2 linked regions of the Daphnia pulex genome follow. The protein of the gene in region 1 purifies or fractionates together with the protein of each later gene. This does not show direct contact. Links are inferred from orthologs where the notes say so. Each region holds a gene or a part of one and is shown on either strand. Other genes may lie near its edges. The genes, in order: 26S proteasome complex subunit SEM1-like and ubiquitin-protein ligase E3C-like.

Region 1 (2,652 bases):
TCTCTAGCTATCGTAAAAAAATTGAAACCATTTAGGCCTTGGCAGTTTGTTTACACTTTTCAAATGCCGTCTTGGTCTAGTGAGGAAAACGGATAAAACTTCAATGTCTGTCTGCTAGCTACTAATCGTTAACGAACTTACGAAACAATCAATCGAACAGATTTGACTTTTGACATAATGACCACGTTATAATCATATAATCTAGTAATTACTGAATTGAATAAAATCTGTGAATCTGTGGTAATGTTAATTTTAAAATTAATAAATGAAAATAATTTTAAAAAATAAATCAGAACCCTAGCGGTTCCGGTTAGGACTGCGATAGGGCCAATCTGCTTTGAATGTTGTGAAACTGTTGATAATTAAAAAATAAATTTGGGTTTAAGAATGGTTCATTGGTATGGAATATGATGCTGGGGAGTCCCATTTTAAAGGAAGATATTGACAGATGGAACAACTTTATCTGGGACAGGTTTCAATCAGAAACTTATTAGAAAAATTTAGGAAGGATTCCATTATAACTTAAAAGGAACTAATTGACTGGCAAATCCAATTCTAGTACATTTCTAAAAGAAATGCCAAGATAATTAAATACAAAAGAGACAGTATTGTATTCAATTTTTAAGTGAACAGTGGTACAATAAAATGGGTGTGTTATTTTAATGATCACTGTTCCATTTTAATGCCTTGTTTCTCCAGAGCAGCCCTATGAAATAAATAAAAAGATTTTATGGTTATGCCAAATTAAGTCATTAATAATTTCTACTAGTATTCAAACCTCAATTGCTGGCTGAAATCATCTTCAACGTTGTCATCATCCCAGTTGTCTTCCCAGACATTGACATCGTCAGCATCTTCTTCTTTGCCAGTCCAATCTACAATATTCAATGGGTACATGTAACTATGAACATATATTTTAAGTATAGGCAATTAAGTTTAAAGGCAATTTCAAGTTCGCTAGGTAGTAAGAAATGTTACCATCAGCCGGAAACTCTTCGAATTCATCGTCTTCCTCGAGCAGACCTAAATCTACTTTTGGCTTTTCGGTGGTGGAGTCAGTTTTTTCAATCTTCACATCTGCCATGACTGAACTATTATTAAGAGATAGATTTGATTTTTAACAACTAACAGTGATTCACTGAAGTTCTGCTTCTAACTTGACGGTTCTGAGTCTGACTTCAAGCTGACTGATCGTAACTTCTGACTTGGCGTTTTCAAAAAGGCGTCTGCTGGGTTTGTTACATAATATTAACCACAGATGGCGGTGAACATCAGAAAAACCAGTCGAACGTTGCCGCGAATTTTAAAGTAAGGAAGGAATATAAATATAAAATTTAGAAACTCTTATCTTCATTTGCGCAAATTCAATTTGAATTGTCATAAGAAGAACTTTAAATGGATAAGCTTATTTGTAACGTAGGTCACACATGCATATCGATGAGGATAAACGATTCTATACAGATTCTTTTGCTTTATTATAATGCCTAGTTGTGCACCATTTGATTGTTTACACACGATTAATTTTTTGTTTGGAACTAAAGGAAACCAACATTTATTTTTAGATATGACGTAAAATTTCTGTGAACCTGTTTCAAAAGCGACTAAGAAATGGCCTTGGAAAGGGACATTGAGGTGTTATCTCTGATTTTATAGCAGGTTCCTCTGCATCTGCATTTCATTGTATTGAGCAGGATCGACCTCCAAGTTCACGTACGTAACTAATTGAGACGACCCCTCTGGACTGACGACTCTAGAATTCCAGCCGTTATTACATAAAAGTAGAAGGGCATATATGGGATACCGATGTAAGGAAGGGTTGGTTATCTAACGCCATATAAGTCTGAATAAAACATTTTCTGATGTAATGCAGTTGACAACAGGAATAGCTGCTTAATGTAAGACCAATAACCTACATTTCGGCCTGTTAAAAGTTGGTTAGGCTGCTGTTGCTAACCGTCGACTTTTAACAATTGAGCTTCTTTTTTTTTCATTTTGGTTCGGCCCAAGCAACTGGATTGACCACACCGAATTTACATTTCTATCAAACTGTTTTATGTTATTCCCGAGGTAAGAGAAAAAAGTACGCAATTCTATATTAGAAAAATGGAAATCCAACGACATTAGTCCGCCATTTATGAATTTTCATTTGAACATCGGATGATAGGCCTTCGTCTTATAATCGACGGTTTAATACTAATCGACTGCTTGTAATCCCTTGTATGTACACTGATATGAACTTTGGAATAATAATTTTAAATTATTTATAAGCTGTTGTCTTTCTCATGAATTTATAGACACAGCTCTACGTGGAATTCAAAACTTTTCGATTGAAAAACCTTTCACGGTTTCCTCCGATTCGCCCGTTCCAGTTCCTTCTCAACTGTGTGTTTGCTGTTTGACATCATTTGTCATTGAAGTTGTTTTTTAAGTCCCCTTAACAAGGTCCTCTTTTCTTTATGGAACCGCGCTCTTACAAAAGCAAACTAATTGCAAACTCGCTACTTCCAACATTCACCGTTGTTTTCGTAGAAAACTGACAATTAAAATTCGGAATAATTTCGCTTTATAAGCCACCGGTTTCACTTTGAAGACGCGTTCAGGCGACTTATTCTATGAGAATTTCAATTCTGTCAATCGCTAAGAAAACATTGG
Region 2 (4,281 bases), on another chromosome or scaffold:
GTAGTAATGGGCTGGGAAATCCGAAACGAGGACAGCCACACCGGGATTAGGGTAGAGCAAGTTATCGTGTGTTAAGCGGAAAAACCCGCGATTCGGATCGAAGCTCGTTTTCAGCAACTCTGACAGGAATTCACGAAATATACCACCACCATCGACTCCGGCTTCGTCCAATCCTACAGCATTCGTTAACTGGACTCTCATCTTAAATCGCAGATTTGGTTCTGTCAAGATAAATTTCAGTTAATCTTCTGTTATCCTTCAGAATTGTGAATGAAACTCACCATTTTCAAGGGAAAGTTTATCGAAAGCGTCCTCATAAATATAATTCCGGCGAATCATGACCTGAATGGATGGACCTCGAAGGAAATTGGCCTCTCCCTGTTGCTGCATTTTATCATTGAGGATCCATTGCTGCCACATTTTGACCCGATCGGTGAACGAGAACACAAACGGAATTTCACGCAGAATGGCTAAGGTTCGCACCTCTCTTGTTGACAACATAGAACTACCTTCCTCTTCTACTAAGAAATATTATTAAGTAAATTATACTCTTTTAGAGTGTCAACACGAAGGAAAAATTACCAATTTCATTCCTGGTTAATGGTCGGATAGCCCTAAACGGACGGTGAAGTCTGCCTTGCCTACGGAAAGACAGCTGGCCATTCCTCTCCAAAGGCAGGGCAATTCTTCCAGTTATCCAAACCCAACTAGGACAGAACGGTCGGCGCGTATCTCTTGTGTGCAACTGGCTGACGAGATTCACTGTAGACTACAATGAAGGGTATATCACTCATTTTGTGTCCATGTATTGAATAAATTAGCCTTACTTTGAACAGATGCATCCACAGTCGGGTATCTTCTTGTGTGTTACCGGTGGAAGTAGTACGGGTCTTGACAAAGTTGAAGGAGGTGCTTGGGCGAGTATCAGGATAAGCAAGTTCCACCAATCCAAGGCAAACGTCACGCAATATAGAAGCCAGTTCGACCACTTCAGTTAGGCTGAACGGCATAGCTCCAGAAACTGGATCTAATAAATGAGCAATAAATTGCTAAGTTAAAAATTATTTTCGAAAAAAACTATGTAGAAGACGAACCCGATTCGTTGTAAAATTCGGAGTCGTCCAACGTTACTAAAAGATGACTGAAAAGTGAACAGAAAACATCTAACACGGGTACGATTCGGTCAATTTCCGAATGCGCCAGATGAACACCTTTCGCCAAAAGTTGAACCAAGGACGTATCCGATGAACCAAACAGCGACACTTGCTTTTCTGATTTGATATGGCCTAACAACTGTTGCAGATAACAAGGTTTGAAAGCCAACGTATAAAGTAGCCTAGAAATTATGGCGCCGGTTAAAAATTACAGAGTCAAGACGAGTAAATTTATGTATTGCTATACCTGCACTTGTGGAGCGCCAATCGATCAGACAGCAACAGATTGTGACCAACGACACACAAATCTGGTAGAACGTCAGGGATTTGCAGGGCTGTTACCAATACATGTACCGTATTGATATTATTAAGTAACTCACAGCAACGAGTCATTATCTGTAGCAATCAAGGAAAATGACATTACTGATTTGCGAAATGAACCAGATATTTCAAGGTTATTACTTCTTGTTCGGCAGCTTTAAATATGTTAGTTTGTACATCTTCTTCGTCTGAGTCGTCGTCGTCTTCGTGAACTTCAGCAGTTTGCATGAATTGGAGACATCCGCTTAAACGACTTACTGTGGCAACGTAGAATGACAGCACTCTATCGTCCTTAAGTTCTATTTTAAGAAGAAATCGTTGGTACTTATAGAATCAAGAATGTTAACTGAATTCTTAAGTTACCAGGGTGTCCATCTGCCAGCACCAGAATGCTATGAAGAAGCCACGGATTTCTTGCACAAGCTTCATTGTTTTGAAGCAAACATAACAAAGGAATTTTGTTATTATTCTGCCTCAAAGACGGAAGAATGAAATTTGTGATTGGTTCTGAATACGCTGGTTCCAGAAATTCTCGGCTAAAGGATGCAACTACAGTGTTACTAAACGAAAATAAATTTAAATAAATTTAAAAGTGGGATAATAAATAGAAAAATTCTTTTTCAAACCGATTATTTATATTCATTGTCGCCGATGCAAATTCTAGGGGTTGAAAAATAAAGTCCAACAGGCAACCAGAAAGAGGGGTTGGTGCCTTTGTGGTGGGCTCAACTAAAGGTGGTATTTTAACATCAACAATCTGGCGTAACTGGGTAAAATAACCTAAAATAAAGATAATTTTTATTTGCAAAAAAAAGTTTGTGATAACAAGGAGAGAATGTTACCTTTTCGAGACAGGAAAAAAAATATTGAACCCAAAATCATATCAGCTGTTTGAACTCCTACACTTTTTCTCCAGCCCTCTGCATTGAGGAAGATTTCCAAGACCCTCCAGTGGGACCCTTTGCTCTCTCCAGTTGGTAAATGAATAGTATCAGATATGTAGCACAGAGTTAAGCTGAGGAATTGAGCAAGGCTAAATGTGAATGGTTTCTCAGTTTGGCATTGCTTCATTATGCTAGGTGAATTTTTTATCACCAGCTGTGATAGCCACACAAGTTTGTTAGCATCTTTCTCTTTATCAAAGAAGAACTTAAGTTTGTTGATCAAAGATGTCAAGAGTTGTAAGTTAATATTTTGGAAATTGGTGGCCTGTATTCTTTCAAACTCTTGTCGTTGAATGTTCTTTTGAAGGGATCTAGCTTGGCAACCTCGAAAAAAAGCTTGAATGATAACAGCACTTTGGTTTTGTCGACGTAAATCCTGCATTAGCAATAAAGTAGGTTAGTAATGAATGATCTTGAGTTGAAATGCAATATTTTTGTTTTACTTCTCTTTTTTGCCTTTCTAGTTGTGTTCTCTGGAGAAAAATGTCTCTTTGACTATGTTTTGATGCGCCTCCCAAACTTTGGACAGGTTTTCGCCTGTACTCTCCCTCAAAACTAAACATTTCAAAAACAACGAATCGATCCAGGTCTTGTGGACTATTTGCGAGTTGCCGTAATTGGATCCTTTATCCTTTTATTGTGATAAATTGGTGACTTTGGGAAACTGAACAGCAGACGTTTTTCACAAGAATGACTAAACTTACGATGTTGCATAATTAAAATAACAAGCTATAAACAGGTGAAATGGCAGAAAATCTATTCGCGGATCGCGAGATACAGGGAATATTTTCAAAAAGCAATTAAAAGTTTAAAACACAAACCGTAAAATATTCTCTTTTATTTTCAGACCATTTAATATCTTTATTATATTGAATTAGTGCAGCCAACTCTGGTGAAGCATTAGTGAACACAACCTAAACAATTCTGTCCATTCTAGCAGAAGATATTCCAAGCGATTTCTGTTTGAAAACAAGCATGCCGTGAGACAACTTTGTCTCATCTGTAAGAGCAGTAATTTCTTTTGAATGAAGGAAAACTTTTACGAGATAATTTGTGATTTCAAAGATGGGAGTTCATGGATTGTGGAATCTACTAGAACCGGTTGGCAAACCTGTTCCGCTAGAAACCCTTGAGAATAAAGTTCTCGCTGTTGGTAAGTTCTTCAATACCATGTTGAGATATGCTGTTTTCACTCTAAACAAATCATAAAATATCATTTTTTATTTTTATTTGTTTAGATGTGTCTATTTGGCTTCATCAAGCAACTAAAGGTTTCCGGGATGCCCAAGGAAATCCATTACCAAATGCCCACTTATTGGGTAATTCAATTCACAAGGCCATTATTTGATTAATTTAGATTAATTCATCTTCTCATCAGGCTTATGCCACCGTCTTTGCAAGCTATTGTTTTTCAAAATCAAACCAGTATTTGTTTTTGATGGAGGGGTTCCAGTACTGAAACGGCAAACCATGGTACACTTATTTTTACATGTTACTCAACAATTTTTGAAATCATAAAATACAATTTAGGCTGCACGTCATAACAGGAGAGATACAGCTGTTAAGAACAATGATATGGTTGCAGAGAAAATCCTTTCAAACTATATTAAGTCAGAAGTTATCAATAAACAACTTGGCAAAAATAAAGGGAAATCTGGAGCTCCTTTGTTAAAAAAGAAAAAATTGGAACCTGATTTATTTGAGCTTCCACCAATTCCAAATCAAAACACTGAGTAAATTTTTGTTAATTCTTTGACACAGAAATTCTTAACATTTTAATAACAATGTTGATGTTTAGGGACAATTCTTCAGAATCAGATTTTGACGACGATGCAAATGGAAATCTGGGCGCAATTTCTTTA

Evidence for each region.
Region 2: the proteins of 26S proteasome complex subunit SEM1-like (region 1) and ubiquitin-protein ligase E3C-like purify together in Homo sapiens (affinity purification with western blotting; 3 studies listed by BioGRID and IntAct, with this or other methods). This does not show direct contact. The link is inferred for Daphnia pulex from reciprocal best matches to the Homo sapiens genes SEM1 and UBE3C.

Annotation. Positions count from the first base shown.
Region 1 is NC_060028.1:1,556,370-1,559,021, forward strand, and holds 26S proteasome complex subunit SEM1-like, read right to left. Parts: upstream 1,198-2,652; 5' UTR 1,085-1,197; coding exon 979-1,084; intron 876-978; coding exon 779-875; intron 707-778; coding exon 667-706; 3' UTR 588-666; downstream 1-587. UniProt on the Homo sapiens protein: Component of the 26S proteasome, a multiprotein complex involved in the ATP-dependent degradation of ubiquitinated proteins.
Region 2 is NC_060018.1:1,404,582-1,408,862, reverse strand, and holds the start of ubiquitin-protein ligase E3C-like, read right to left. Parts: upstream 3,121-4,281; 5' UTR 2,983-3,120; coding exon 2,863-2,982; intron 2,796-2,862; coding exon 2,318-2,795; intron 2,256-2,317; coding exon 2,102-2,255; intron 2,036-2,101; coding exon 1,839-2,035; intron 1,775-1,838; coding exon 1,617-1,774; intron 1,551-1,616; coding exon 1,402-1,550; intron 1,337-1,401; coding exon 1,095-1,336; intron 1,028-1,094; coding exon 828-1,027; intron 770-827; coding exon 583-769; intron 519-582; coding exon 282-518; intron 222-281; coding exon 1-221. Other genes in the region: DNA excision repair protein ERCC-5-like, read left to right, coding at 3,485-3,572, 3,658-3,738, 3,798-3,892, 3,950-4,152, 4,218-4,281. UniProt on the Homo sapiens protein: E3 ubiquitin-protein ligase that specifically catalyzes 'Lys-29'- and 'Lys-48'-linked polyubiquitin chains.